Elephas maximus indicus: one gene and its partners. The protein of the gene in region 1 purifies or fractionates together with the protein of each later gene. This does not show direct contact. Links are inferred from orthologs where the notes say so. Each region holds a gene or a part of one and is shown in the gene's direction. Other genes may lie near its edges. The genes, in order: TRIM25, G3BP1, IGF2BP3 and G3BP2.

Region 1 (7,809 bases):
AATGGTTGCACAACTAGAAGAATGGTATCAATACCACTGAATTGTACAAGTAGAAACTGTTGGTGTATGTTTTGCTGTGTATATTCTCAACAATAAAATAAAATTTAGAAAAAAGTATATTTTAGGTAAATGAGGTTTATTACCCCACCTAATTCTTCCAACCTACAGATGCAGACTGGGAATCTGGTTAAGATAGCCAGTCATCTGCTGGACTGGACCATCTTGGTCCCTTGTGACTAGCTGGGATCACATTTGACTCGAGAATGTTGCTCAGCTGAGGTTACTAATGATAAACACACTCTCCAGCCCACATACACTCTCTGGGCCTCCACTAGCCCATCACGGCGGTTAACATTTATTTCTACTGGTGGAGGTCCTGGGTGGTGCAAATGGCTAAGTGCTCGGCTACTAACCTAAAGGTTGATGGTTCAAACACACCCAGGGGCACCATGGAAGAAAGGCCTGGTGGTCTACTTCTATAAAGATTACAGCCAAGAAAACCTCATGGAGCAGTCCTACTCTGTAACACATGAACTCACTGTGAGTCAAAACGGACTTGAGGGCAATGGGTTGCTGACTGAAAGACTGTTCGAATCTACCCAGAGGTGCCTCAGAAGAAAAGCCCAGCTATCTACTTCTGAAAAATCATAGTGCGCAGTTCTACTCTGAAATACACTGGGTGGCTGTGAGTCGGAACGGACTGCATGGCAACTGGATTCCCACCCGCATTAGTGTGCTTTACTTGCTGTTTCCACAACATCCCCAGGAAAAAGGTATTATCAGGTTTCCGATTTTTCAAATGAGGAGTCCATCTTCCCAGCAGGAATTGACCTCTCACCCTATTTCCCTTTTCTGCTTTGTGCTCTCTTCTTCTCCCTTATATTAGAAGGCAGGCCTCTGTTAGACTCACATTTGATCCCTCCAGCAGCCAGTACCATCACTGCTGTATAACAGGTCTAAAAGTACTGAATTTGATAAAGAAATCCCTCCTAGTCATCTTCACTGTTCAACCAGCCCTTCTAAACCTCTCCACCTAGAAAGAGAGTTCCACAAACATTCTGGCATGAGTCACCGGGCCAGTTCACCCATGTGAGCCTGGTCATGGGGAATTTCATAGTGTTTGTTTCCTGGAAACGCCCCACTCCTCCTTGGAAGGCAGCATGTTATAGTAATAAGGGTCTAGCTTCCGGCAAATAATCTGAGTGCCAATATCCATTGTCTTAGATACGATAGTTTAAAAAAAAATTGTGCTTTGGGTGGAAATTTACAGCTCAAGTTAGTTTCTCACACAAAAACTTATACACATATTGTTATGCAGCCCTAGTTGCAATACCTATAATGTGACAACATGCTGCCCCTTTCCACCCCCAACTATGTCCATTCAACCAGCTCCTGTCCCTTTCTGCCTTCTCATCCCTCCTCCGGACACGAGCTGCCCATTTAGTCTCGTGTATCTACTTGAACTAAGAAGCACACTTTTACAAGTATTATTTTATGTTTTAAAGTCCAGTCTAATCTTTGAAGAGTTGGCTTCAGAAATGGTTTTAGTTCTGGGTTAATAGAGAATCTAGGGGCCATGTCTTCTGGAGTTCCTCTAGATTCAGTCAGACCGTTAAGTCTCGTCTTTTTACGTGAATTTGAGTTTTGAACCCCACTTTTCTTCTGCTCTGTCAGGGCCTCTCTGTTGTGTTCCCCGTCAGGGTGGTCATTGGTCATAGCTCTTCTGGTCTCAGGCTGATAGAGTCTCTGGTTTATGTGGCCCTTTTGTCTCTTGGGCTAATATTTTCCTTGTGTCTTTGGTGTTCTTCATTCTCCTTTGCCCCAGGTGGGCTGAGACCAATTGATGCATCTAGCGTTTAAGACCCCAGATGCCAATCTTCAAAGTAGGATGCAGAATGTTTTCTTCATAAACTTTGTTATGCCTATTGACCTAGATGTTCCCCGAAACCATGGTCTTCAGACTCCAGCTCCTGCTACTCTGTCCCTTGAAGTATTTGGTTGTGTTCAGGAAACGTCTTAGTTTTTGGTTTAGTCCAGTTGTGCTGACTTCCCCTGTATTGTGTGTTGTCCTTCCCTTCACCTAAGATAACTCTTGTCTACTATCTAGTTAGTGAATTCCCCTCTCCCTCCCTCCCCATCCTCATCACCATTAAAGAATGTTTTCTTCTGTGTTTAAACCTTTTCTTGAGTACTTATAATAGTGGTCTCATACAATATTTGTCCTTTTGCAGCTGACTAATTTCACTCAGCATAATGCCTTGCAGATTTATCCATGTTGTGAGATGTTTCTTGGATTCATCATTCTTTTTTATCACTGTGTAGTATTCCACTGTACGAATATACCATAATTCGTTTATCATTGTCTATTGATGGGCACTTAGGTTGTTTCCATCTTTTTGCTAGTTGTTTAGTTTTTCTAAGCCTCCATTTCCTCAACCTGTTGCCGATGACTTGATTCTGACTCATAACAACCCTATTAAAAAAAAAAAAATTTTTTTTTTTTTTTTTTATAGGACAGGATAAAACTGCCCCATAGGGTTTCCATGGCTGTAATCTTTACGGAAGATTACGAAAGCAGACTGTCACATCTTTCTCCTACGGAGCGGCTGGTGGGTTTGAACTTTAACCTTTCAGTTAGCAGCTGAGTGCTTAACCGTTGCACCACCAGGGCTTCCTCAGCTGTAACATGAGATAATTATACCTACTGCAAAGATCTGTTGTAAGAACTAAGATTTATTATCAACAAATTTTAATTTCCTGCACTCCCTCATCCTTCTTCTCTCCCCCATGCAAAAAAACAAAAACACCATCAACAACAAAAAACCCATAATGAAAGAGAACAAATTGAGTAAAGGATCCTGGAGGAATAGGAGCCTGCTGGATGAGAATTATGGGAACCAGGGAGTAGAATATTGAGTTAAGCAGTCCTTGGCTAGAATTTTAGTCTTGCTTTCTGGAAGTTATCTGACCCTCATCTGTAAAATGGACACAATGACATCTGTCTTGCAGAATTTATAAGGATTGTTGTTATTGTAAAAGGACCCCTGGTGGGACAAGCCCTGGTGCTTGGTTTCTCACCGGAAGACTGGCCATTTAAACCTGCAGCCTCAGAAACCCTGTGGGGCGAGTCTACTTTGTCCCATAGGTCACTGTAAGTCGGAATCGACTTGACAGCCACTGCTCTTTTGGGTTGTTGCTGTGTACTGTAGAGTAGATTTGACTCATGGGGACTGCATGTGACAGAATAGAACAGCCCCATAAGGTTACCTTGGCTATAATCTTTACCAAAGCAGATCATCAGCTGATTGCCAAATCTGTCTCTTGTGGAGCCGGTGAGTGGGTTCAAACCTCCAACCTTTAGGTTAGCACCCCAGCGCTTTACCATTGCAGCACCAGGGCTTCTTTATAAAGATTATGGCTAATATATGTGATTTACCTAGTATACAGTAGGTTGCATATAAACAAATAATTACTTTTTGGATTACTATTACTATTACCATTCATAGTGACCCTACGAAGCAACGTAAAACTGCCCCATAGGGTTTCCAAGGAGCAGCTGGTGGATTTGAACTGCTAGCCTTTTTGCTTAGCAGCCGAGCTGTTAACCACTGCGTCACCAGGGCTCCGCTATCACTATTAGCAGTAGTCTAAGGTTTTTTTTTTTAAGGCATTTACCTTTTTCTCATTTTTGCCATCCACTCTGTACCTAAAGCAAACTCCAATTAACCCCTCCCAATACACAATCTTTCTCATTACCACCATCCCGTCTCCTCTCTTGAACTCGTCTAGCCTCTTGTCCACTCATTTTTCCTGTACCCAGGCCAGAGAAGGGGAAAAATAGAGCTAAATATTAAATGAAATTTAAATAAGCAATTTTTAGAAAAATGTTTAAGCTCTAATGTTACAGATGTGTGTGAGTGTGTGTAAACCTTTCATTAAACTGGATGTCTCCAAACTCCAGGAAAGTAGAAATGAGAATTAAAAATAAAATCCTGTTAGATTGGTGGAATGGAAAGAAGTCACCCAGTTTAAGTCTGAGCGTGGGTGTGAGCTCCAAACTCCAAGGGCTGTATGCTGATGGAGCATCCACACCCCCGAGCCCCCCGCAGAAAAAACAAAAACAGTCTGCGGAAGGCCGACTGGACCTCGGCTCTGGCTGGGGTCCAGGCCTCCGCATCCCTCGAGTTCATCGTCCGCACAGTGGCCCCAAAAAGCCCCGCGCCCACCGGGCGGAAGCTATACGGGCCGTTCCGCCGCTGACCCTCCCCTGGACTGCCAGTCCGCCGCCCGCACGGGGGCCGGATGCGGCCCGCCCCCTCACCCCCGGCAGCCAGCCAGCCGACCAGCCCGCGCCCCACGTGACTTCCGAGAGGCTGCGGGGACCGCCCCGGCCCCGATCAGTTTCGTTTCCTCACAGCTTCCGTGCCACAGTGCAGCAGCCTGGGTTCTAACGTGTCGTGCCCCTCCGGAGGAGCGCTATGGCGGAGTTGAACCCGCTGGCGGAGGAGCTGTCGTGCTCCATCTGCCTGGAGCCCTTCAAGGTGCCGGTGACCACGCCGTGCGGCCACAACTTCTGCGCATCGTGCCTGGACGAGACGTGGGCCGTCCAGGGCTCGCCGTACCGGTGCCCGCAGTGCCGCGCCGTCTACCAGGCGCGGCCGCAGCTCCAGAAGAACACGGTGCTGTGCGCCGTGGTGGAGCAGTTCCTGAGCGCCGAGCAGGCCCGGGAGGTGTCTGTCGACGGCTGGACGCTGCCCGTGCGCACCGCGGCCCCCAGCCTGCCCGAAAAGGTGGCCTGCGACCACTGCCTCAAGGCGGCCGCCGCCAAGACGTGCCTCGTGTGCATGGCCTCCTTCTGCCAGGAGCACCTGCAGCCGCACCTCGACAGCCCAGTCTTCCAGGACCATCCGCTGCAGCCGCCTATCCGCGACCTGATGCGCCGCAAGTGTTCTCAGCACAACCGGCTGCGAGAATTCTTCTGCCCCGAGCACGGCGAGTGCATTTGCCATATCTGCCTGGTGGAGCACAAGGCCTGCTCGCCGGCGCCGCTGAGCCAGGCCAGCACCGACCTGGAGGTAGGGGCGCCACGGAGGGCTGGTGGGGCTGCACAGAGGCCGTGCTCCCTGGGCCTCTCTGCCGCACCTTGAATGCTCTGGGGGTATAGGCTTTGCTGGGCCTGAGATGGAGGGCAGGGGTATCCCGAATGTCACAGGAGAAAGGAGCTGGGGATGATACAGGCCTCTCCCACCATGTATACCTGGCCCCCCAACATACACCCATTTTACAGAGAGGAAAACAGAAGACACAGCCGAAGTAGCTTTCCTTAAGCCTTGTGCTTGTCTAATGGTGTTTCGTAGATGGTTTTGAATGTTAACTCTAAGCCCTGGAGGTTACTTCTGTCCTTCAGTAAGTTCTGCGAGCGCCTAGGAGATGAGTCTTAGTATTTTCATTTACAGTTGAGGAAACTGAGGTCCAGAGAGATTAATCTAGCCCCAGGTAATGCAGTAAGAGCCCTGGTGGCACAGTGGTTAAAGCGCTTGGCTGCTAACCGAATTGTTGGCTGTTTGAAATCACTTGCTACCCTGCAGTGGAAAAATGCAGCAGTCTGCTTCGATGAAGGTTACAGCCTTGGAAACCCCATGAGGCAGTTCTACTCTGTCCTGTAGGGTTGCTGTGAGCTGGAATCGACTGGATGGCAGTGGGGGTTTGGTTGTTTTTTTTTTTAGTTTAATACAGCAAGGGGCGGAGTGGACATTGGGACCCAAGTTGGTTTGACTACACACTGTGTGATTTCTCTCCATGGATCAACCTCAGATCTGTAGGTCTGGAGAGTCCAGAGCACGGGACATTTCCAGAGGCTTAAGGTCATGTAAGCAAACACCTCTGGGGACCCGGAGAGTTCTGTTGACCAGGGAGAGTTGTTCTTATTAGAGGTCGGAGAGGGTGTGGGGAGCCCCAGGAATCCCTGGATGTGACCATAGGGAGCACCAGCCCTGTGGCACCATAGCACCGCCTCCTTATTGTGTGACTTTGAGCAAAGGATGTGGTCTGTGGCTTGGGGCCTCGTCAGTGAAATGAGGAGGTGAGACTAGGTGGATTCCTAAGGGACCTTGGTCTGTGATCTTCTTAGTGGTTTGGAGGGATCATACCTTTTCTCTGTGGACTCCAGGCAGAGGCTGAAAGATGTAATGAAACCACCTTGAATTGTATACCACTGTAAGTTCCAAAGCTTGGCCTTATTTTATTTCATGCTCCCGGCACTGTCAGATAGAACAAGGGCTCTTTTTGTTTTGTTAAAGGAGACATGAGGCCGGGGTGAGGTCGGGGAGGGCTGGGGGCGGGGGTTGCAGCACTGCTGAGTTCAGAGTACAGGCCTCCCCCATTCAGGTTACAGCCCTTCCTTGGCCTTATCTGTTTCTCCAGGCCAGAGCTGGGTGTTGAGAGAGAGCTGGGTTTGAATCCCAGCCCTGTGTCCTAGCTGGGAAATCATAAAAAGGAATAGTAATGCATCAGGGTTGTATCCTTTCACCATACCTGTTCAATCTGTATGCCAAGCAAATAACCTGAGAAGCTGGACTACATGAAGACGAGTGCAGCATCAGGATTGGAGGAAGACTCATTAACAACCTGCGTTACACAGATGACACAACCTTGCTTGCTGAAAGTGAAGAGGACTTGAAACACTTATTGATGAAGATCAAAGACCACAGCCTTCAATATGGATTACACCTCAACATAAAACAAAATCTTTGCAACTGGACAATAAGCAACATCACGATAAACGAAGATAAGATCGAAGTTGTCAAGGATTTCATTTTGCTTGGATCCACAATCAATGCGCGTGGAAGCAGTCAAGAAATCAAACAACGTATTACACTGGGCAAATCTGCTGCAAAAGACCTCTTTAAAGTGTTAGAAAGCAAAGATGTCACTTTGAGGACTAAGGTGTGCCTGACCCAAGCTGTGGTGTTTTCAATAGTCTATATGCATGCAAAAGCTGGGCAATGAATAAAGGACACTGAAGAATTGATGCCTTTGAATTATGGTGTTGGCGAAGAATATTGCATATCCCATGGACTGCCAAAAGAATGAACAAATCTGTCTTGGAAGAAGTACAGCCAGAATGCTACTTAGAAGCAAGGATGGTGAGACTTTGTCTCCTGTACTTTGGACATGTTATCAGGAGGGACCAGTCCCTGGAAAAGGACATCATGTTTGGTAAAGTAGAGGGCCACGGAAAGAGAGGAAGACCATCATCAAAATGGACTGACGCAGTGGCTGCAACAATAGCCTCAAGCATAACAACGACTGTGAGGATGGCAGAGGACCGGGCAGTGCTTTGTTCTCATATACAGGGTAACTATGAGTCGGAACGGACTTGACGTCACCTAACAACAATAACATCAGGAGGTTCCATCATCTGTCTGTCTGTCATACTGTGGTGGCTTGCGTGTTGCTGTGATGCTGGAAGCATTTTGTTGTTGTTGGGTGCCATTGAGTTGATTTTGACTCATAGTGACCCCATGTGACAGAGTAGAACTGTCCCATAAGGTTTTCTTGGCTGTAATCTGGATGGAAACAGATTACCAGGTCTTTCTCCTTTGGTTAGCAGCTGAGCGCTTAACTGTTTGCGGCACCAGCACTCTTTTGCTGAAAGCTAAAAAAACCCAAAGCTAGGCCACCGGTATTTCAAATACCATCAGGATCACCCATGGTGGACAGATTTCAGTGGCGCTTCCAGACTAAGACAGACTAGAAAGAAAGGCCTGGCAATCTACTTTCAAAAAGTAGTCAATGAAAACTTAGGGT
Region 2 (8,525 bases), on another chromosome or scaffold:
AAGTTGATTCCGACTCATAGCAACCCCATAGGGTTTCCAAGGCTGTAAATCTCTACAGAAGCAGACTGCCACATTTTTCTCCTTTGGAGCCGCTTGGTGGTTTCGAACCACTGACCTTTCAGTTAGGAGTCTATAGCTTTAACTACTGCAGCACCACCAGTGTTACCTGTGTTTTATTGACTATGCAAAGGCATTCAACTCTGTGGATCATAGCAAATTATGGATAGCTTTGCAAAGAATGGGAACTTCAGAGCACTTAATTATGCTTGTGAAGAACCTGTACGTAGACCAAGAGACAGTTGTTCAAACAGAACAAAGGGATACCATGTGGTTTAAAATCAGGAAAGGTGTGCATCAAGGTTGTATCCTTTTCCCACACTTGTTCAATCTGTATGTTGAGCAAATAATCCAAGAAACTGGACTGTTAGTTATCTAGTGCTGCTATAAAAGAAATACCATAAGTGGATTACTTTAACAAAGAGAAATTTATTCTCTCACAGTTTAGGAGGCTAGAAGTCTGAATTTAGGGTGCCAGCTCAGGGGAAGACTTTCTCTGTCTGTCGGCTCTGGAGGAAGGTCCTTGTCATCAGTCTTCTCCTCAACTAGGAGCTTTTCAATGCAGGAACCTCAGGTCCAAAAGACATGCCCTGCTCCTGGCATTGCTTTCTTGGTGGTATGAGGTCCCCCTGCCTCTCTGATCTCTTTTCTCTTTTATATCTCAAAAGAGATTGGTTTGAGATACAACCTAATCTTGTAGATTGAGCCCTGCCTCATTAACATAATTAATGCTAATCCCACCTCATTAACATATAGAGGTAGGATTTACAACACATAGGAAAATCACATCAGATAACAAAATGGTGGGCAATCATACAATATTGGGAATCATGGCCTAGCCAAGTTGATACACATTTTTGGGGACACAATTCAAACCATAACACTGGACTATATAAAGAAGGACAGGGCATCAGGATCGGATGAAGACTCATTAACAACATGTGATATGCAGATACCGCAACTTGCTTGCTGAAGTGAAAAGGACTTGAAGCACTTATTGATGAAGATCAAAGACTACAGCCTCCAGTATGGATTACATTTCAACATAAAACAAAAATCCTCTCAACTAGACCAATAAGCAACATCATGATAAACGGAGAAAATATTGAAGTTGTCAAGGATTTCATTTTACTTGTATCCACAATCAACGCCCATGGAAGCAGTCGTCAGGAAATGAAACGGTGTATCGCATCGGGCAAATCTGATGCTAAAGACCTCTTTAAAGTGTTAAAAAGCAAAGATGTCACGTTAATGACTAAACTGCCTGACCCAAACCATGGTGTTTTCAGCTGACTCATAGCATACGAAAGCTGGACAATGAATAAGGAAGACTGAAGAAGAATTGATGCCTTTGAATTATGATGTTGGCAAATAATACTGAATATACCATGGACTGCCAAAAGAAAGAACAAATCTGTCTTGGAAGAAATATAGCCAGAATGTCTGTTAGAAGCAAGGATGTCAAGACTTCATCTCACATACTTTGGACACGTTATCAGCAGGGACCCTGGAAAAGAAGAGAAAAAGAGGAAGACCCTCGACGAGATGGATTGACACAGTGGCTGCAATGATGGGCTCAAACACAGTAATGACTTTGAGTATGGCGCAGGACCAGGCAGTATTTCCTTCTGTTGTCCATAGGGTTGCTGTGAGTTGCAGCTGACTCAATGGCACCTAACAACAACATAGCCTCCATTTGTTCTTTTTGCACAAATGGTGGCACACTCTTCCCATTATTCTTCATTTTGCTTTCTTCATTTAACAATATCTCTTGGTGATCTCACTACAAGTATACATGTAGATCTACCTCATTTTCTCTGTGATTGCATGACAGTTCACTGTAAGAGTGTGTTGTATTTTAGCATTGTATCTCATCAGTACCATGTAGCTAGATACTTGAGTTGTTTCCTGTTTCCTTCTACTTTAAACAATGCTGCAATGAAAATTATTATACTAGGTCTTTGGTCATAGGTGGGAGTTTAACAGTTAAAGATACACACATATTTTTCATCACTCTTCATAAATGAGTAACTATGTTTGAGAAACATTGATTCAGATGATATTCAAGAAACTTTTCTTACCTAGTTAGTATTTCCCACCACCCTTGCACTCCTCCTATCAAACTGTATGTTCTGGGGTCTTGTTCATTCTCCTTCCACCCCGATTCTCAGAGCTCTCGGGAGAGCTGATAGAAAGGCAGGGGTGAAAGAATGTACTGGAGGGGTTTGTAGAACTTGCTTGGCAGCGGAGATAAAGACCAGAAGAAGGCTTGAGATTCTCCCATAGATGACTTAAATGGGTCTATAGACGAGGGTTTCTCAACCTCTACATAATTGGGGTTTGGCAGGATAAGTCTCTGTTTTGGGGGTTCTCCTGTGTATTCCTGGTCTCTACTCACTGGATGCCAGTGGCCTCTACCTAGCTGTGACAATGCCAAATATGTCCTTGCGGGGGGGGATGTTGGAGACAACCTCTCAACCACGTTTTAGACAATTTGTTGGTAGTAAGTTAACTACCGAACATTTACTAAATATCCATTGTCTGGATCTAGAGGGTTTATCTGGATGGGGAAGCTTTGACGGGAGGATGTTAACTCCCTTTCTCCCATGAAAGACAGCAACAGCCATCTGAGGGGTTGTCTTGCCCACATTCTCCCTCCCATAATCCTTCCTTCCTCCTCTCCCTCATTCCCTCCCATTACACAACACAGTATGTGAACACAGTACCATTGTAAACATTTCAGATACATTACCCTCATCCCTCCCTACATACTGAACTCTCCAGGAGTAATGACTGAATTTATTTTAAATTCAGAACTTTCCCCATACATTTACATATATACTTTAACATACAAAATGAGCATTTTTTTTGTTTTTGACATAAATGGGACTTCACTGTATGTTTCATTGAATGACTTTTTTTAAATTAACAATCCATTTAACAAGTGGACATCAGTTCATATCCATATATTCTTTTTTTAAACTACTGCATAAGTATCCTATATTACAGGTATACCACCGTTAAACAGTTTGCCAATTGACGAATATTATTTTAATATTCTACTTCTAAGTATTCTAACGATGCTGCAATAAACACTCTGGTACAGGCCTCTCTGTAAACAAATGTACCTGTCTACCAAGAAGTAGAATTTTATTTAGGGACACACACAATTTTAATAGACACTGCCTACTTGCCTTATAAAATAAGCTGTATCATTTAATACTCCTTCCAAATGTGATCAAGAGAAGCCATTTCCCACATCACAGGCCACCTGGGTTAAATTACCAATCTTGTTTATTTTTGTCAATCTGCTCTCAGTACAGTCATTTTTGTAAAATGTAAACCTTAGTCCACCCTTGAAAAAACCTTCCACCTACAGAATAAAGCCCAAATTCCTTCACATGCCTTACATGATCTTAAGGTCCCTTACCTCAGACATTTTTTAGCTGCTTCTTTCCTGTAGGCTGATTTCCTTCCTTTCCCCCCACAGACCCTTTGATGCCTGTTTTGGGATCCGTGTCCCAGTGTTGCACCCCTCTGTTGAATGGGTGACAGTGAACAGCATCTTGATCATTTCTGACTCCTAGCCCTGGTACTCAGTCAACACTGAATAAGCAGGGCTGATAAGGGAGTGAGACCTGGGGGAACCAGCGGGGCCTTTCTCATGGCTCCTGAGGCCTCCCCTGGTCTCCAGTCTCGTCTGCCAGGCCGGCAGTGCAGAGAGGAAGAGCAGGGCTGGATTTGGTTCAGATGCGGCGGGTGCCCATTTCTCCTTTCAGCCCTGGCTAGGCCATCCTGCTTGGCCTTTCTCTGCATCCAGAGACGCTCCACCTGCTTCATTTCCAACGTTATTGGCAAAATGTAAGAAGACCCTCCCAGCTGCTTACATACCTGGAATGAGAATGCGAGTTTATGCCTAATGTGTTGGAACCAACCATATTCCTATATAAAATGCTTGTGGTGACCAACAAAGGACACAGCAAAATACTAAGACACACGGACAGAACCAGGCTGGAGGGCCATTTAGCCTAACCGTTTCGGGGAATCTTTGGAGTATCCATGCAGGAGTTGGACAAGTTATCTTCTAAAGATGCAAAGGCATGAAGAAAAAGCAAGTCTTCCAAGTCCCATGTATACACAGCAATTAGAAAAAGGAATGACAATCTTGGGGACACACACAAGATGTGATGTTGCATTAGGCCCAAACTTGACGGGAGACGTTCCCTCTGCAACAACCAAAATGGAAAGTCTGATTAAAACCCCCATAAGCCCACCATTGGTTTAAGCAACCGCAGCATTTGCCAAGAGGGAATGGGGTGGACATATACATTCTCAAACTCAACAGTAGTTTTCACATGTGATCTTTTTACATTTCTTACACACACAACAGAAACTATTTTCTTCTTTTGTTTTCCTTTAACTGTGGTCCAAGTCCAACAATAGCGCTAGCTAAAGGTAAGACTCAGCAAGTGCCCTTAGGCAGCCGCATAGAAATTAAAAAAAAAAAAATTAAATAAAAGATTAAAAACAAAAACTTAACGGGGAATTTTACCCCTTGGTTCCCCTAGTACCAACTGTGCGGAAAAGGCGGGAAAAAGGACCCTGGGGCCGGATCAAACAAGAGAAAGAAAGGAAAGAGAACAGAAGCCAGAGCCTGGAAACTCCTATAAACGCCCCAGAGGGCACGGCGGCCCTGGGGTTCGGTCTCCTTGGAGCCAACCCCCGCGTCAATCAGCCCCTTCCGGCGTTACGATTGGCCAGGGACTTCCTTGGCCTCTCTGCAGCCCACCTCCTAGTTACTTGGGGTTTACTTCCCCAAAGTACACGGGCCCCACCTTGTGGAGCAACCGCTCCTGCGTGGAAAACGGATCTCCGCCCAGGGGACGACGTTTTAGCGAATGAGAGTAGTTTCATGGATTTATTGGCTATTACGGGTATCGGTCACATAACTTCCCACCCTCCTTTTCACTGTACCTTTAAGTTATTGGTTTTTCTGAGTGCCAATCCGTTACTAGGGAAACGCGATCCTTACAGTCTCATACGCCCTAGTCCAAGCCAATCAAGAGCCACGCCTTCACCCTGAGTCAATATCCAATTGTGGTTCGAAGAGCCCAGAGGGCGCATTCGGGATTGGCCATCCGCTCGCCCGGCCTGGCCGCAACAAGTTAGGCTGAGTCGTGGTTATATACACCGGCGGCGGAGCACGCGTGTGTGCGGACGCAGTTCCGTGAGGGTCCTCTGCCATCCGTCCTACTGTGGAGCAGAGCTTGTTCCTCTCCCGCTCAGCCGCGCAGGTAGGCTGGGGCGTGGGCGGGGCTGGGCCGCCCGAGGACGAGGCCGAGCTGGGGCTGCTGTTAGACGGAGAGGTCCGAGCGGCTGCCGTGGCGGCGGCGCGAGGCGCGCCCCCCCTTCCCCCCAACGGCCGCAGGCGCGCGCAGCGGCTCTCTGCCTCCCCTACCCCCACCGTCCGGAGCGCGAGGCCGTGGCCGCCGCGTGCACGTGCCGCGTCCAACGGCCACGCGGGGCGAGAGCGAGCCGCGGCCGCCGCCCGGGCCCCAGGGCCATCTCGGGGGGCCGGGAGCCTCGCGCGGCCAGGGAGGGACTGCGAGCCGGCTGGCCGGCTTTTCCCGCCGCCCGCCCCATCCATCCTCTGTCCATCCCACGCGCCAGCCGAGTGTTTTCTCCCCGCGCCTAGAGGCTCAGACTTGGCCCGGACCGGGAGCGAGGGGTAGGGGCGACCTTCAAGTGCGATCAGAATTTTTCGACCTTCCAGGGAGTACAGAGCGAGCGGCCTTGTGCATGGAGAATTAGCAATAACAATAACTAATGTCTCTAAGCCCTTCCTTTTGGGCCAGGCTTTGTGCTGAGCAACTTGTATGTATTTCATTTAATCCTTCCAACGACCCAGTGAGGTAGGTACAATTGTTTTCCTCGTTTTACAGCGGACTTTAAAGCACCTAGGTGGAGTGACATGGCCAAAGGTACGCAGACGGTAAGGGACAGGTATTTCAACTCAGGCTGCCTGACTTCTAGCCCCCGAGCCTGTTTTATTCTTTGCTCCAACGGCTTGTGCGGTCCCAGGGCACCTTTGCCCCGAGAGCAGGCGTCACTGGGGGCAGCATCCACCTCGGAAGACACAATTGCCGAGAAGTCTCTGCGGCATTTGTACTTGAGGCCAGTGGTGGCCTTCCACGGAGATGATCAAAGGTTGGAAGTGGAATTATGACAAAGAAAGAGGGTTTGAGCTTCCCTTTTTGCCTGTATTCGCTGGGATAGCTGAGGGATGTGCTGCCCTAACAGCTTCTGGAAAAAGTAGAAAAATGAATAAATGCCGACGAACATGGACTGTGTTCCTCATCAGATTTGAAACTCAGCGAGGTAATGGGACATTCTCGCCAGCAGGAAGTTAGACTCTGATATGTAGGTCTTGAATCCTTCTTTTTTTTTTTTTTTAATCAGAGCAGATTTTTGAGAAAGACCTTTGAGAAGGTAGTTTAAACTTCCTCGTTTTATAATTGAAGAAAATGAGGTTTAGAATGAAGAGTTTCAGATCTCAGCAGTATCTGTGGGTTAAAAATTGGAATGGAAAGGATGGCTCCCCGTTACAGGATAAATTTGACCTCTGGAGGTTATAAATGCTAGATGAATCGCGGGTGATAGGGGTATGTTGGAAATTGTACTCTTGTGGAGTTGGGATCTTCTGTGGTTGAAAGCCTTACTACATTCAGCTATTGAGCATTTACTCTGCTCCTGTGTAGACGCAAAAAAGTGGAACACACCTTTCTCATCTTCGAAGGCTTGAGTTTTTATCTTTGTAGCAGAGTTAGATTTTTTAAAGCCTGTATACACTTTGGCTTAATGAAATAATGAATGTTCTTAAGTTGCAAGTCAAAATTATTAATTTGCATCACAGGTGTCTCTAAGACAAAACTGCAAAAGAAGCTTTGGGATTAGCTGTTCTAAATTAGTTTTGAATTGAATGGCTTTCAACCTGTTCTGCTTTTTTTTCTTTTTTAAAAAAAATTGTCCTTTTTACTGTATGCGCTCATACTCTTTAGGATTGCTCTTTAAGGAGTTTTTGCAGCCAGAGGGTACACATTATGTACATTCTTTGTAAGTTAAGACAATGAGGGGATTTAATACTTGCATGTGTTTTCCTTTACCTTGTACTTCCCCCCATGTTTCTAAACAAAAAGTAGCAGTAAAAGATCAGAATGTTGTGTGGACAAGTTCTTACGTTTAGTTGTTGCCATAAATTACAGTTCCATTTGGATATAACATTGTTTTATTTGGAACTTGCAGTTGTGTAACAATTTCTGTTACCTGCATTTAAAGAGGAATTAACTGTGAAATAAGTGTTTTAGGACTTAAGATGAGCAATTTAGATTATCAAATATTGACACACTATGATGACAGACCTACACATTTGATTCCAGCCATTTTTAGTACTACTTGAGGTTAAATATTATCGGGATGAAATAACTATGTATTAATTGAGGGAAAGTTTTGTCAGTAATCCCTTCAAGTATTAACAAAATACTGTTTTTGGCCTCAGGCAAATTGCTGTCATTTGGGGAGAAATAAAATTAAGTGATGTTCCTATTGTTGGTACCCCAGTTGGCCTGCTGTGCATGTATTTATCAAAAACAAGCGAAATGAAGCAAATTGTGATAATATAAGACTTGAGCCTTACTTTCCAATCAAGCCATTAGTACTTTTGTTAAGAGTTAAATCCTTTCAAATCGGAGCAGACGTACCTCTTCTAACAGGTAGAAAAGTAGGCAGTGGTTTTCTTTACCTCACACTTGATTTGCTGTTCTTAGCTAATAGTTTAATAAGAGATCATCAGGAGATTTGGTAAAGTTCGTTGGTGACCCTTGCAGCAATTTTTGTAATTTACATTAGGGATCTTTTACTTGAACTTATTTTAATGCTTTGCACAGAAAGTAAAGGGCAGAGGTTAGTTTTTATAAGTTTGTGAGTTGTGTATGATTTGTAGAAGGATAGATGGGCCAGTGCTCAAAAGATGAGATTTAATGTAAAGCCTGAATTTGTGACTTAAACCAACTTTTTTTTTTGGTTTCATAAAAGTGCCCACTGGTGTTTTCTTAATGCTTTGCAATTAGATTGGTTTTTAAAATATCTGGAAGTTTAGATAGGCGTTGTGTGTTACTAAAAAAAAAAAAGTTTTATTATATTGTGTTTTAAGGCTGCCTTGGACTGGACAAAACTATGATTGGCTGGATGCTTTGAAACTTTACAAAGGGGGATCATTGTCAAAGTAGGTAGACCTTTTTTCTTTGGCTGGCCAGGTGTCAACAACTAGTGGGAAACCTTTCCTAGTAGCGGTACGGTCCTTCAGCTCTCAAGTTAAATTTAGATTCTGCAACTGTAGTCAGTGATCACATTGTGGCAGTTAAACTAGGTTTATATTTTAAAATATTATTCAAAAGTCTGCTTTCTTTTTT
Region 3 (7,915 bases), on another chromosome or scaffold:
TAAAATTAGAACATTTCAGCTACACGAATCACTAATCCTTCAAGATCGGTCTCAGCTTCATTGGTCCTAGAGCAGCTTTAACGAAATAGTTGTCGCGGCATAGTTGATTTTACCCGTAATTTTTCGTTTGCCTTTTTTTTTTTTCCTTGCAGGGGTTGTTTGGTTTTGCTTAAAAAGACCCTGGGGAGCACAAAGGGGGCTAGGAAGGGAGGGGGCAGGACGAGTGAATTTCTCTAGAAGCCAAGGGAAGTCCAGGCAACTGGAAACGCATTTTTTGGTTGTTTTTACAAGAAGAAAAAAAAATATATATATAAATTCTAAGATGTTGGAAACAGGCAGGGAAACGAAAATGTGACTCCAGTTGCTGAGCATGGCGCAAACCGACGACCTCCGGTCGCTGGACGTTGGGGGAAGGGAAAGGAATTGTGCGGGCACCACGCGGTCAGCCCAGGGGGCGGGGTCCACACACCGCAGAACTATTTTCTACACCTCCCTTTCAGCTACCATCTTCTTTCCTCCCTGGGGATTGGAGCTGGGAGCAAGCAGTTAATAGGGTAGGGAGAAATGAGAGTAAGAATCTCACTCCTCAACAACAAAACCATCGAGAGGGAGCAAAGGGTTATTTTCGCGCCACAAAAGATGGAAATCCAGGGGCTGCTCGGGGGCCAATGAATGGAAACCAGCAAACGAATCCGGCGGAGGTAGCCGACGGTGATAGGCTCCCTTTCTGCACCAATCGGATAAGAGGGAGAAGCCCCCCGCCCCCTCCTTCAGCCAGGGGCGGTGTTTCTCTCGACGCCGGTTGCTCAACTTGGTCTCGGCGAGTCAGCCTCGCGGAGCGCGGGAGCCCCGCCCCGGGGCCGCGTTTGCGCGCCCTGTGCGCGCATCTTGCTGCCCCGCCCCGCCCCGGACAGAGGCGCAGGGTTCGGTGATGGCTTTTTGCCTTTTTCCGTGGGTACCAAGCATCCCCTTGCGCCAGGCAGTCCCTCGCACACATGAAGCTGAGGCCGGAGGTGCGGGAAGGCCGTCAAACACGCTGCTTGGTCTGTCGGGCCGCGGGGGAAGGAGGACTTCAGGTGGAGTCGTGCCGCCGAGGAAACGACTGAGGTTTCTCCCGGCGCTCACGTCCCACCGGCCTTGCGGCTCCGCGCCGAGTGACGGGACCCGAGGCGAGGCCCGGGGGAAGGTGGATCAATGGTCAAGGCCCTTCGTGGCGAGCAGGCGGCCGACGAAGGACCTTCCCCAGTGTGCTGTAAGGATCCCGCCCTCTTTCTCGGGGAAGAGCCAGAGGAAAAAGGAAACAACCCCCATCTTCTCGTCTCCCGGGGCACCATTTTTAATTTCAAACGATAATAAACGAAGGTAGATTCTGGAGAGTCACGTTACCCCTTATCACGCCTCTGGTTTAAACAGATCAGAGTCCAGGAGAGCCATTCGAAGGAGCAAGAGCGTGTTAAAATACCTCCTGTGAGGCCCATGCGACGCGGCGGGCATTGTGTGCCCACCCGCATGAAGGGCTTAGGCTCCCAGCTTGTCTCACGGCAGCTGGGAGGAAGGACGGGTAGGAACAGGAATGTCCTTTCCCCTTCCTGCGCAGCCCTCGCAGATAACCTGTGGATACAGCAATGGTAACCGATCTTCTCAACATAGTTTTTCTCCCTTAATGTCACACTGACCCCCTAAACATTTTTATTGCGATTAGATCAGCAGATAAGGAGGTGCAGCTGTCCAAAGAGTAAACAGGCTGCAGATGGAAAAACTCAGCCGCAACTGAGATACAATAATCGGTGGGAGTCCTTTTTTCATGTCATCAACATTAACTAGGAGCTACAACTGCTTCAGGAGGAATCTGGAGTAGCCTATACACAGTTAATTTCTTGTGTGACACGTAGTGGAATACTGGAAGTTAAATTGACCTTATACTGACTCTTGAAAATCTAAAGATATTTTTGTACTTAAAGTGCCAATAAAAAATACTCATGCTCTTTTTGCTCTGCTATTGAGCTTATTATACTTATTCCTCAAATGCTTGGAAGATTCGAAGTGGACTGGCCTATATAGCGACCTCCTTTTGTTAGTGTCTGAGCTTATATAATGTGTATGTTTTTAAGATCCTAGATGGGGTATCCATTTTGTTACAATAATAGATTAAGTTCACAAGAGTCCCAGGTACATATTTCATCAAAACAACACACATTTTGTTTTAAATTCCAGCTGTTATAGGTTTGATAGTGACAGACTGGCATGGGCTAGTGTTATGGAAAATAAATCATCCACCCCATGCTTTAGAAGTATTTAGGTCTTAGTTTTAATAAGGGCAAATACAATCAATAATCCATCAGTCACCAATCGATTTAGAAAGCAAGCTGAACATACAAAATTTGTTCTTACAGAAAAATTACTAAAAGAATTAAACGATCAACAGACTTGTCTGTAAAATTTAAAGTAACATTTAGAAAAAGCAAAGATTATTAAGTGCACATTTCTCCAAATAGTTTTGATCACATGCAACAGGTACACGAAAAAGAAATATATTTTGATATTTACATTTGCATACCAAAGAAGTCATAAGGGAGAAGACGTATGTTTTTCTTTTTTACAACCATGGTTCCTTTAAAACACACACAAAAACTTTCTTTTAAAGTTAAACCTAACTATAAACTTGAATTTCACCACCAAAACGTTTTTTCAAGATAGGGCTCATAATATAGTTCTAAACACTGTTACATGTTTGTCCCCCATCTCATAAAGTAAAAGCATTTCATTAAATTAACCGTCAATGAAAATATTGTGAATGTGAGTATACATTTAAAAAAGTGGATTTGCTTGGCTGGAAAGAAAAACCTGTTAAAACAGTTGCACATAAAATGGATGATCTGACACCTTCCAGTTAAAATAAGACAAACTTATAAGTTCCTTTTAAAAGACAAAAGGTAAATACTTAATGCAATATATTCCTGTTTGTCTTTTATAATCTGCCATTCATCTTTTATCCCTGGAAATTACATCGTGTTAATAAAAAAAAATTTTTTTAAATGACACACACGATTTCGACAAAGAAACGAACTACATCAGTTGTAATTGTTTAAGATGTTTCCAGTTAAATCACATTATTTTCTCTATTACACAATACATCTTTTTCTACCGATAAGATTATCAAGTCATTAAAATTTCTTGTTTATATTTCCATGCTATAGACAATTTCATTCACTTAAAAAGGTTAACATTTGTGTCTTTCCCATGGAATACCTGTTAAAAACATATACCACAAGTATATGGTACAAATGAAGCCTTTGAGTGGTAGACAATTATTAAACGACACTTCCAGATTTCCCCAAGCACCCCAGCACTGCCTTCCTTTCCGTATTCCTCGTCCCCAGTCCACGTTTCGTCGGCCTGGAAGGCTTCACTGTGCCCAGACCCTCCCCCACAGACCCACCTTTGTACTCCTTACATGGAAAATTATGAATGGCTCTCATGCCCAAACGCTAGCAGAAAAAGAAGCAGAAGGAGACTCGTACAAATTTTGCAAAGGCGATTACCAGCTAGAGGTAACGCAGAGCGGTCTTCCTGTTTTAACAGTCTCTAGTTCGACAACTAAAATTATTTAAATAAAAGTACCACCCTACTTACTCCTCCCCCCGCTCTAGAAGCTACAGGAAGAGAGAGTTTCCCTTTAAGTATCGACTTTTCCCACTCTGACTTCTCTCCCTCAGCCTCCAAAGCCCCCGACGGCCCCATCCCTAAACCAGAAACCTCCGCCCTCCTCTCCCCCTCCCCCACCGGTGGCCGCGCCCGCCCCCGGCCTCATTTATCCCCGAGCCTTTTCTGAAACGCGCAACCAATGGCAAACGCGCAGCCGAGAGCCACAGGGAGCGGAGGCGGAGGCGGAGGCGGAGGCGGAGGAGGTGTCGCCCAGATACCCGCCCAGGACGTCGCTGGCTCCCATCCCCCACAGCCCCGGCCCTGGGATCCTGCAGACAGGCGCTCTCGTTTCCCCGGGCCGGGAGGGGTGAAGAGAACGGGGCGCTTCTGCCGTCTCTCCGTCCGCACCCACCCCACCCCCTCTCTGCGTTTCCGCCCCTGGCAGCCGTGGAAACGTGCTCGTGGCTTTGCCGAGGTTACACATAATGTCATCAAAGCCACAGGACTAGTTCAGAATTGTGGCTCTAGTTTTGTTAATCACCTACTTTAAAAACAGAATGATTAAAACTCAGAGTTGAGGAATCGTCTAGTTAGCACTCCCACTCTTTTACTCATTAAAAAAAAAAAAAAATCAACATTCCAACCCCCGCCCCTCAGGAGCCGCCCCGACCAGATAACCCTTTCTAAACTCTTGTTGTGACAATCAGCTCCCCGCTTAGCCTGGCGCCCGGCTGCGGCTTCCTTAGCATTTTTCCTCCTCCCCCTCCTCAGAGTCCCTTGCCTAATCTCGTTTCCCCTCCCCCTCTTCCTCCTCCTGCTTGCTCTTTCCCCCCCACTCCTCGAAACCCACTCTAATTGAGGCGCTGGGATTCCTCACGTGAGACGTTGATTTGTAGTTTGAACACGTGGCTCATTCAAAAAGCCGGACACTCGGAGCGGATTTTTTCCGCCTCCTGCGCTTTCTTCCCTCCTCCCCCTCTCCCCTCGCTCCTGCCAGTCACCCTTCTGGGTTTTTTTATGGGGAGGCGGCGCTCTGCCCTCACGTAGTGTGATATTTTCACAGTCCGCTGGCCGATGCCAAAGGGGTTGGGGAGGAAGAGACAAAAAGTAGTTTTTTTTTTCCCTCCTCCTCCTCTTTTCTCTCGCTAATCCCGCCTCCTCCTCAGAGTTAGGAAGACTCGTTCATGCGTCTGGGTTGTAGCAAGGCTTTTTCTTTTTCATTTTTCTTTTTTTGTACCTAGAAAAGGAGAAGCAAGAACCTTCAGACCTGATATTTCGCTCCCCGTTCTCGCCCTTGTTTTTTACTGGGTTTGTGCATTTTAAAGGCGAAAAGACGAGGGGAACAAAACCGCCAGATCCATCCATTGTGGGTGGTTTTAATTTTTCGTTTTTCTATTATTAGTTTTTTTAAACTACCAGTCTTCACAATGAACAAACTGTATATCGGAAACCTCAACGAGAACGCCGTTCCTTCGGACCTAGAAAGTATCTTCAAGGACGCCAAGATCCCGGTGTCGGGACCCTTCCTGGTGAAGACAGGCTACGCGTTCGTGGACTGCCCGGACGAGAGCTGGGCCCTCAAGGCCATCGAGACGCTTTCAGGTGGGCCCCGGCCTGGCCCCACCGGGGCGCCTGCCCCAGCCCTGCGCCGCCAGCCCCGGCCCGCCGAGGTCGGGTGCCCGGAGTCAGGCCTGTGGCTGCCGCCGGGGCGTCCGCGCGGGGCCCCAGGCCCGGCGAGGAGCCGGTGGAGGGTGTGAGGCCCGAGCGTCCACTCGTGTGGGGTCGGGGTGCTCTCAGATTTGGCTCTAGCTCCGCTCCCCCCCGTCTCCCCTCCCCCACCGGGGTTTGCCGGGCGAAGGTGGACCCGCTGTCAATAAAACCAGGGCCAGGGCTAGGAGGGGCGCGAGGGGCGGCTGCGGAGCCCGTGCGCGGGGATGGGGGGCGCGGCCGCCCGCACCGGACCCCCGTCAGCGCTGCCACCGCGCCCAGCCCGGGCCCAAGCGCGTTCTCTCGGTTTCCACACACCGGGCCGGGGGGGGGGGTGGGGGCGAGTGTGAATGCCTGCTTCGCCTTCCTTTCTCTGGTCGTTATTTATGGCGCTGGGTTCGCTGCAGACACCCAGACCCCGGCAGTGTGAGAAAGGAAAGAGGCTCGAATCTCTCAGCCGAGTGAGGCCGCGGGCTAGTGCCTTGCACTGGCGGCCCCGCGCTTCCTCCCGACCCTGCGGGAGGGGAGCGAGTGCGACCTGGCTTTCATTTTCAACTGCACTCTGTCGGACGAGCAAGCTGGGCAGGTGGGCGGGGGTGGCCGGTTGTAACCGGCGAGGGAGCCCCCGCTGCGGCGCTGGGCCGCCGGCGGCTCTCCGGAACCCGGCGCCCGGCTGCGGCCTCCGGAGTGGCGGCGCGCCCGTGGTGCCTGGCGAGGGCAGGAGACCGTGCGTGGCGGGGCGGCGGTCTTGGGCTGGGACTCCCAACAGGGAACCTACGCGGGGGTGCTTTTGCGAGCCCAGTGCCTTTCGGTGTCCCCCTTATCAACTCAGTACAGTTATGGGCGCCGCGCCGACCTTCGCGCGATGTTCAGTCTGGGCTGAGATGCAGCTCTGGGCGTTCGCTCTTCTACCCCGCCGCGCTCTCGACCCTTTCCCGCTACACTTCGTCCTTTCCAACCCTACCGCAAAGTGTTCCCGGCGGGCCTGGGCTTGAACCGGGTGAAAGGCCCGTGCGCCCCCTCCTGAAAGAAGCTAATGTAGCCCCTCTCCCTCCGTTTGTCGTATGGGAGTGTCCAGGGAGGTGGGAGGAGGGCCGCGTCCATTTTGCGGGTGTTGTGGGGTTGGGTGACCCTCTGAGTGGCCAGGGGAGGCTTGTCGGGAGGGGGTGGAATGTTACTGAAATAGTGGGCCTGCCAGTTGATCCCACTCCCCACAAATCTGTAAACTAAGCACACACACACACACATAGCCGGGAGGTCATGCACAGTGTAGGGTTCCCTCTCGGCCTTTAGCCGCGTCCGGGGCTTGGGGGCCTTTCGGGCTCTCAGGAGGCCACTCGTCGCTGCATAGGCTGTTGAGGGTCCTTTGGGTTCGAAGAGCCGCTGAACCCAGCCAAACGTTTCCCACTTCTTGTGTGCCCACAGGTAAAGTGGAACTGCATGGGAAACTCATAGAAGTTGAGCACTCGGTCCCAAAAAGGCAAAGGTGAGTTTAATAATTCTTTTGTCACGGATTCGTTACTGAAAGACTCCTTTTTTACACAGCTGAAAACAATTTTTTTTTTTTTTGCCTCCTATGCTTGTCGGGCTGCTGTGTGGCTTGGCGTTTCTCGTCATTTCCCCTCACTTTTAAGTTTATGGCAGCTGTGTGTGTGTGTAATGCTGCGAAGGAAAAGAGGGGTTGTCTGTGGCCCGGCAACTAGGTTGTTGAATATAGCAGTCTCTCAAGGAAGCTCTCACAGCTAAATATTCTCTGGCAGAGCAGGTCAAGTTACTGCAAGGGGAGATGAAGTCTCCAAGGGGAGTGTTTTGGGAATCCGGGATTTAGCAAGCAGTAAGCAGTGGATGACCGATGCCTGTAGGTACTGGGTAGGCGAAAGCAGCTGCAGAAATGCTCGGGTGTGGCATGCCCGCCCTTCTCTGGCCAAGTTGGCGACGATGAGTCTCTGAGTCTGCCAGGCCCTAGGCACATGAGAGGAGAGGAATTTGCCTTTACCCTGTTAGCTCACCAGCTGGGATTGGAACACGTGAGTGAACGCTTGGGCTTCTCCACCCTAGAAATGCCTTCCAGTCCCTCCAAAGTTACATAGGTTTCTGCAAACACCGCCTTTGTCTCCGCTTCCTTTTTTTTGAAAGACATTTTTGTTTACAAATCTACCACCGAGAGATCGTGAACTCTGATGATTTGTGCTACGTAAAAGCAGGGGGATTTCTCCTTCTCTGAGAGCATGTGTAGTGTCACTTGACAGAATATTTTGGAGACTGTTTTAGCCTCTGAAGCATTTTGGAGAAATGGCTCCTTTCTCCAGAGCAGCAGACTGTCCCGGCTCTCTCTTACTGGAAAGGCGCTGCTCCCTTGCGGTGCTGGGGTTGGCCTGTGTCTTCCTAGATTTTGCAAGGTGGGGTTAGGGTTACTGCTTTTCCCCTCCCATCCCCCACTCCCAGGGCCAAACAATAAACTCGAAGTTAATTTAAACCAGGGCTGTGTGTATCTGGTTAGGCATTGATGGTAAGGGTGTGTGTGCTGCAGGGTAGGAAGGGTTTGCTATACATTTCCCTGGTG
Region 4 (7,950 bases), on another chromosome or scaffold:
CTTTGGTGACAAAATTCTTTTTTTCAAGTACATCTATTAACTTTCCTCGGAACACACTTTGGTAACACTAGGGCGTTTAAAATTTAAACGATTCTCTTTTTTTTTTTTTTAAACCACCCTAAACAATCTGCATAAGCCATGCAGTACTCAACAGATACTACTTAAAAGAATATAAGGGATGTCTGTGGTTGGATATAAGTGATCAAAACACAAATCATTATGGTTTTCTCTGACATAATTACTGCAAGACTAGCTGAGAGAAAACACCCATCAGTTATGACATTGACCTGGTTATTAAAGAAGAATATGAAACATCAACTCAAATAGGAGTTTCAGACTATACATTTATAGTAACACAGTATAAAATGTGCTCGACCAAACCACAGGTATGTCTAAATTTAAGCCCACATTCCTTAATAACAATTTTTATTAAAAGAAAGTACAAGCTGTCCCTGCATTATTGGCCCTTTTGCTTTCTGACCCAGCTGATCCAAGTTCGATCTAAGAAGAGACACCATAGCAGTATAGATATTCTGTACTTTTCCTGGACTTTATCAACTTTTATGCCCTCAGGATCCAATCTGAGAACATAAAATGCCTTGTGATTTATCACTACATATTTTTTTTTTTATAGTCTATACTTGTTTTTTTTCAAGAAACTAGTTTTTAAAAAAGATACTAGTTGGAAGGTAGATAGAAATTTTAGTCATGAGCATTTAAAAGCACGAGTAGAATTTTTACTATGATAGTGTTTATTTTCACCCAGCAAAGTATGTCATGGCTAAGGAGGCTTCAAGCATCAGAAATTACTGTCTTTTCTCTACCTGAAGTAAATAAGAGACATCAAATTAAAAAGTACTTGACTCTAAAATATGATAAAACATGGATAAAAATTCTGCACTTAAAACATCCAGGACTTTGTACAATTATTGACTATCATGTCAATTAATACTTTATTAGTTCTGAAGAGCATTAATATTAACAGCAGTCCCGAGCTTAACTCTGGGTAGGGTAAGAAAAGCTAGTTACTATACAGTCAGTAATATAACTCTCACACATTTAGAAGACATGAAGAAAAAGCAGGAAAGCAGTCAAAGCAGAATTAGTAAAAAGTCTGACATAATGAACTTCAGTCATTCCATAACTTTGATTTCTACTGTCTTTAAAAAATACTGTTTTAGAACCTAGGAATTTATAAGCTGTGATTATTATTTTTTTTTATGATTATAGATCTGTGACTTATTTCATACAAAACTATAATTAATTCATTTAACAAATATTTATTGAGCATCTATTACTATGGAAAAACAAAGATTAAAATCTATATGAAACTTGCCCTAAAGAAACTCAAGAGTCTTAAGTTTCTTAAGTAACTTAAGAATGAAACATATATAAATGGTAGACAGTGGTAGGAAGCATAAGAAATTAATAACCCAGTTAAAATCCAAAGAAAGCTCAGATGATAAAGATTATCTGCAGTCTGGTGGGGGAAAGAAGGGTGCAAATTACAGAAGGCATTTATGATGAGATTTGAAGAACAGGTAGAATTCAGACAGAGGTAAGAAAAGAAAACTTTCATGTGAAAAAGAGAGAGATGGAAAGCCACAGTGAAAATAATTTGATTTCACAGAAATAAAAAAATTACAAAATGATAATACACCTACCCCTCACTGAAGGACTCTCGTTATCTGACATTTCACATTTACAGTAGTAAAAACTCTACCCTCCAACTATTTTGTGCATTAATGACAAACATCTGGCAGTAACAAATGCCGAGATGTGAGGCAAAGGATAATGCTGGTTGTGATGGTTAAGATTATATGTCAACTTGGCTAGGCCATGATTCTCAGTGGCTTGGCAGTTATGTAATGATGTAATTTGGTAGTTATGTAAATGATGCAATATGGCAGTTATGTCATGATGTAGTCATCCTCCATTTTTGCATAATGTCAATTTTCTATGAAATCTAACCATATCGATAAGGGAGAAGTGGGTGTATAGAAGGTAGAGGTTCTAAGCTCTAGCAACTCAAATATCCAGGCTAGATCAACTCACCAATAAAAAGTCTAATATTGTACTACATTCTACTGATGCTACATAAATACTTTTAATTAGTAACCCATGACTCCTCATACCTGCTATACCTACTTATGGAATGATAGTGAAACAAATTTTATTCATACTGTAACAGACTACTTTCCTAATTTTGAGTGTATTTATCCTTAAAGCTAGGCAAGATCAAGCACCCTTACTTTCCTTTTAGTTTATATACACAAATGATACTCAAGCTTCATTCTGAAACCATGACATTAAAAACTATGTTGTCCCATTCACTGTAGTAAGATCAAAGTGTTCTTCTAATCCCAACTCTGAATTACGGTGCAAACACCTTTAGGGTTCTGTGCCTCAACTTCCTATCCTGGAAGATAAGGGGGTTAGACCTGAATGATCTCTAAAGGTCCTTCCAGCTTTAAAATCCCATACCCTATGAATTCTATACCTTTTCTGTAGAAGCCACCATGACAAGGAAAACTAGCAACAACAAAAAAAAGAAGGTATTCTTCCTCTAACCCATATGTAATAAAAACTACCTCTTATTGAGCACCTACAAAGTGTCAGGCTCCATTTCTTATTTCACTTAATCCTCATTATAACCCTGAAGAGCAGGCACTTCTCACTTTACAGGATATCAGCCAACTCTTGCCTGTGCAGTCCCATCAGAGGGTGCAAGGCCAGGATTCCAATAAAGGTCTAACTCCAAAACAAGCTCTAATAAGCCACACTTTAAAACTTGGGGTCTCTAACATAAATGCCAGACAAGTAAAGTAAATGGGGGGGAAAAAAAAAACTAAAAAGGTAGGCCATGGCTACAGTAATCTGGAGAGAGCGACTGTGGTAATCTGGAAACAGCATGTTCCCTTTTTTTTTTTTTTTTGAGAGCATGTTCTTCTAATAGGACAGCTCAGCTGTCTTGTGGCCATGTGGGAATGGACAAAAAAAAAAAAAAAAGGCCAAGAGAAGCCAAATACTAGTTGCGTGTGTATGAGAGAAAAATAAATCTTATTTTCAGCTTCTGCTTTAAACAGTTCTAACTTAGATCTGTGCAGCTAATGTTACTTGCATTATATAAATGTCCAAACTTCTTTCCATCTAAGTATTAAAATATGGGCTTCAGGAGTGAAGTCTAGGCTTTAGAGTAAGGCAAACTCAGGTTGAATCCCAGCTGTTACTTGACTTCTCTAACCTTCATTTCTTCCCTTGTAAAATGAGGATACTATCATCTATCTTGCAGGGTTGTTAAAGATTAAAGGAGAATGTAGAATATAAAGAGCTCAGCACAGTACCTAGCTCAAGGTAAGAGCTTGACGAATGAAAGCTACTCCTAACTATTCTTCTGGAGCCTAGCAACAAAGTTATGCCACTTTTTTGTAAACTTAGAACTACTCAGAAGTAAAAAGTTTATTTTTTTTTAAATGTCTTACATACTCATTTTCAGGAGGCACTTACCAAACTTCAAAATTAAATTTAAACCTGCAAGATAAGCAACGATCAAATACCGTTTTCAGGTACTAACAATTTTTTTTAAATGACGCTGCAAATCGTGTCACCAGGAGTTCAGACCGGGATGAATGAGAGAAAGCAGATGTGTCTCCAATGCCGTTTGAGCGCGAAAGATTCCCTACAACGCCCAAACAAGTTATTTACCAAATGACATATATTTAAAAAAATATTTAGGTGAGCCGAAAAAGCGGTGTTTGAACTTATATCACCTCGAAAAACGACCTTCCTTCCAGTTGAAGAGACAGGAGCAGGTGGCTTTGTGCCCCAAACTAGCGTTTTATTCTTAGCCACATGCTCTGGTCAACAGCTGGGTTTTAAACCTTCTTGCAGTCTTCCCCAACTCCCTGATTCCAGACTGCGAAGGAGAGAGCAGGACTTCAGGTCCCTCTCTGGCGGTGTAGAGACACCCACAAAAGGGAAGGAGGGAGGAGCCCCGGGCCTCGAGGGGCGTGGGAGATAGGTCAGGCAACCTCTGCCCGGGATTCGTCCCTTTCCCGGGCGGTATCACCCGAGGACCACCTCCTCGTTGGGCCTGCAGAGCTGCGGGGCGCGGCTGTCAGCCTGGCCGAGTCGCCGCGGTGGGGGCTGCGTTGGGGGTGTGAGCGGATAACTCCGGGGTCTCAGGAGAGGAAGGGAGGCAAGGGGGGAGCCGGCGTGGGGACCCCAACCCACGATGGAGCTAAGGAGGCGACCCTCCAGGCCTCCGAGTTCTCCGCCCCAGTCCCTGCCTGGACCCTGCCCAAGTCCCGGATCCGTCGCTCCTCTCACCGTCTCGGCTTCGGTGTGCTGGGGTCCGGCACTCTGACCCCCCATTACCCCGCGGAGGAAATTCATCTTGCCGCTCAGTCACGGGCTCTACCAGCCCCTGCGGAATAGAAAAGAAGACAACTTCTCCTGTCTTTCGCAGTGCCTGGCCCCCAAGCCCGCACCCTGCCCTAGCCGGCCGCCGGCACCACCACCTCTTACTCGGCGGCCGCTCCAGCCCCCGAAGCCCGGAAACAGCCTCCACCACCGGCCGAGACGCGCATGCGCGGGGACGTGGCATTACGTGGCGGCTCGAAGGGCGAAGGCAAAGGGGGAGAGTAGGCTAAAAGAGGCCCGCCTCAGGAGGGCCACCCAAGCCCCGCCCGGTGCCCAGGCCCCGCCTCCCGCCGCAGGGCCACGCCTCCACTCCCTCCCTTTGAGGGCAGCTCCTGCTAGCCCCAGCCACCCACGTGGCCGTAGCCCAGCCCAGCCCGTAGGAGGCGATCCAGATAGTCTGCGCGTTTTGGCTTGCTAGGTTTTTAATTGTCGCGGAGCGGGGCTTACTGCAGGCTGTCAAGTCTGGGGTCGTATTTTGTTGAGTCGAAAGCGAAATTTTCCCCCGGCCGACGTGACAGGTAAGGTGTCCAGGTCCCTGGAAACGCCTGTTTGAGGTTTAGCAGTACGAGCGCTGTGGCCTTCTGATCTTAGTAAATTGTATTTCTTCACAGGGCTTTGTTTGGTGGTAAAAAGGGTGCTAGAGCCCCCTCCTTCCTCGGCCACTGGAGGGCGCATTTCTCAGCTGTTGCTCTTCAAGCCTGCTAGAAGGAATTCCTAGATCTAAACACCAGGTACACCGCTATTTTCAAGTGTGTAAGAAGGAAACATTGAACCTTGCATTTAGCTTCGTAGAGAAGTAGATTGATCTGGACTGTCAATTTGGCAATTGGTAGCAAAACGTTGTATTATTAACTCTCAACTCCCGCATTTGTAGTGTTCTTTTTTTCTTAACTTGGAAAAATGCCATTTTTTTGAAGTAGGCATGCCTTGTTCTTTTCGCAATGAAGTTGCCAGGTACACATCCTTCTGGAAAAGTCTCGTAAATTTTTTGAGGTTAAAAGGCACAGGGTCTAGTTAGCTAACTGACGCATGCCCCTCTCGTTTGAATTCCCTGCTGGTCTCGAGTCAGCATTTAAAATTGAACTCATCTTTCCTAGCCTCGCTTAAGGAAAAAAAAAAAAATCAATGTACTTCTTCCACTGTGTGCCCTACCTACAGTGATCAATAGTACCACTGTCCAAATGATTGCCTAAGCCAAAGGAAGAAGCTGGGAGGAATCTTAGACTCTGAATTTCAACCCACTTGTCCAATAGTCAAGTCCTATGGTTTCTGTTTATAGAATATTTCCCGAATAGATACTCTGCTCTTCATCCTCTCTGCCTCTGACATAGTTTATATTCCCATCATTTCTCACAATTATGGCAAGAGCCTTCTAACTCCTCTGTCTGCTTGCAACCCTGGCTTCCCTCCATTCTGGTGTCTAGTCCACTGCTGACCAAGCCCAACAACGACAAAACATCTGTTCAGTCACTCTTGTTTATAAAACCATCTAGTGGGTCCATGTTCTCTCCATAATAAAATCCAAACTCCTTACCTTGGCATACAGCACCTCCTATGATCTGGCTCCTGCCTGCCTTGCCAGCTCCCATTTCTCCCACATACTCAGGCCATTATTATGCCTAGATGGTCCCTTCCCCTCTCTCCTCTTCTTCAAGCAAACTCCTGCTAGTTCTTAACACTCAACTCTCTCATCATCTCCTCAGAGCTTTTCCTGAAATTCAAACGTATATCTATATACTAGCACTTTGCAGTTATTAATATATAGCAGGCACTCAGTAAATGCTTGTTAAACTAAATTGTTAAGGGCAGGGACTGTGTTACTCATTTTTGCATCTCTTTTTCACTGTCTCGTAGAAGGTGATGTTGTTGCATCAATGAGTAAATCATTGAAAAACTATATGAATATTGTCACCTGTAAGTGGAATTGTAGGTAACACATATCACAAAGGTTGTGGTGTAAGTCCTTTTCCTAAGGCCAAGATTTTAAGCCTGGACCATGTGGAGAATGGTGGGATCATACCGCCAAAAGTACTGCATGCTAAACATCGTCCTCTACTTTAAAACCAGACACTTGACGTTTTGCTTCAGACATTTTCTATAGGGTGATTTTGTTGTCACCTAAAAAAGGTAACCAATAAATGCTCTGCATTTTTATTACCAAGTAGTGAGTACAAAAACAACCTCACCCATTCTCTAAGCCTCTCCCCTTCCTGAGCCCTACTCCTTCCTGAGCCTCACCTCTTCCCTAAGTCCCACTCTGCATTGTTGGGGATGAGGCTCCAAGATGAAGTGGGGCTCACAGATGTCTACTGTGCATATTATTTGGTAATAAATAACAGTGCCTTGACTTGTTAGCAAAGGTGTCCTAAGATGCCAGCCTTGTCATATATCTGACTGTGTTTTAAACTGTGGTGTGTACAGTAGGTCACTGTATTAGCTTCCAAGGTCTGCTGTAACAAAACACCACGAATTGAGTGGCTTTAAACAACAGAAATTTATTCTTTCACAGTTCTGGAGGCTAGAAGACCCAATTCAGGGTGTCAGCAGCACCATGTTCTCTCTGAAGGCTCTAGGGGAAGATACTTCCTTGTCTCTTCCTGCTTCCGATAGCCCCAGGTGCTCCTTTGCTTGTGGCAGCGTAACTGGTAACGCCAGTCTATCTCCATCATCACAGGGTATTCTCCTGTGTGTCTGTGTCTCTTCTCCTCTTCTTATAAGGACACCAGCCATATGGATGTCCTGATGACTTCATCTTAACTTGATTGCATTTGCAAAGACCCTATTTCCAAATAAGGTCACGTTCACAGGTATTCGGGGTTAGAATTTCCATATATCTTTTTTGGAGGACACAATTCAACCCATAGCCATCACTAACAAGCTAATGTGAGTTTTTACTTCATTTGACCTGTTTCTTCCCTAACAGTATCGCCTGGAAAGGAAGGATTAGGAGCAGGGGGCATGGACAGTTGAGTGCAGAGGAGATGAGGGCAGGGTCAAGTTCCCTGGCCTCTCAGTCTTGCTTCTGTTCTGGCGTCTCAGAAAGGGGGATGAAGGGAAGGTGGAGCTGCTTGCTACCTCTACCCTCAAGGGGATGCAGAGAGAGGGCAGTTGCTCATTTGTCCCCCAAATGAAAGCAGAGGTATCATCACTACACAGCAACCATGAAATGGACTCCTTATTTAAGAGAAAGGGGGTTATGTATTAATCTGCTCTCACTGATTTTATAGAGAAAAGCCAGGGACCACCTCTTATTCCTGTTTGTATCCTTTAGTCATCTCACATAATTCTTTTAACATTGTAGATGTTCAAGAACCATTTGTTAAATAAAGAGAAAACATGAAAAAATTGTGACTGTAGGACTTACACCATTATACTTCTTTCATAAATTTAAGAATTCAGAATAAGAATGCCATGCATCATGAAAATGCACAAAGAATCCTAAATTTTAATTTGGGTAAATAAAAACATATATATATATATATTTTTTTTTCCTAAACAAAACCTGGCAACTAACAAAATTCATAGATT

Evidence for each region.
Region 2: the proteins of TRIM25 (region 1) and G3BP1 purify together in Homo sapiens (affinity purification with mass spectrometry; 4 studies listed by BioGRID and IntAct, with this or other methods). This does not show direct contact. The link is inferred for Elephas maximus indicus from reciprocal best matches to the Homo sapiens genes TRIM25 and G3BP1.
Region 3: the proteins of TRIM25 (region 1) and IGF2BP3 purify together in Homo sapiens (affinity purification with western blotting; 3 studies listed by BioGRID, with this or other methods). This does not show direct contact. The link is inferred for Elephas maximus indicus from reciprocal best matches to the Homo sapiens genes TRIM25 and IGF2BP3.
Region 4: the proteins of TRIM25 (region 1) and G3BP2 purify together in Homo sapiens (affinity purification with mass spectrometry; 4 studies listed by BioGRID and IntAct, counting the BioPlex papers as one, with this or other methods). This does not show direct contact. The link is inferred for Elephas maximus indicus from reciprocal best matches to the Homo sapiens genes TRIM25 and G3BP2.

What each region holds. Positions count from the first base shown.
Region 1 is NC_064837.1:37,144,053-37,151,861, forward strand, and holds the start of TRIM25 (E3 ubiquitin/ISG15 ligase TRIM25), read left to right. Parts: upstream 1-4,397; 5' UTR 4,398-4,478; coding exon 4,479-5,075; intron 5,076-7,809.
Region 2 is NC_064820.1:167,398,419-167,406,943, forward strand, and holds the start of G3BP1 (ras GTPase-activating protein-binding protein 1), read left to right. Parts: upstream 1-5,239; 5' UTR 5,240-5,351; intron 5,352-8,525. UniProt on the Homo sapiens protein: Protein involved in various processes, such as stress granule formation and innate immunity. Plays an essential role in stress granule formation.
Region 3 is NC_064826.1:84,499,415-84,507,329, reverse strand, and holds the start of IGF2BP3 (insulin-like growth factor 2 mRNA-binding protein 3), read left to right. Parts: upstream 1-4,642; 5' UTR 4,643-5,072; coding exon 5,073-5,247; intron 5,248-6,777; coding exon 6,778-6,838; intron 6,839-7,915. UniProt on the Homo sapiens protein: RNA-binding factor that may recruit target transcripts to cytoplasmic protein-RNA complexes (mRNPs). This transcript 'caging' into mRNPs allows mRNA transport and transient storage.
Region 4 is NC_064823.1:81,673,024-81,680,973, forward strand, and holds the start of G3BP2 (ras GTPase-activating protein-binding protein 2), read left to right. Parts: upstream 1-4,764; 5' UTR 4,765-4,940; intron 4,941-5,033; 5' UTR 5,034-5,153; intron 5,154-7,950. Other genes in the region: USO1 (general vesicular transport factor p115), read right to left, coding at 4,330-4,395.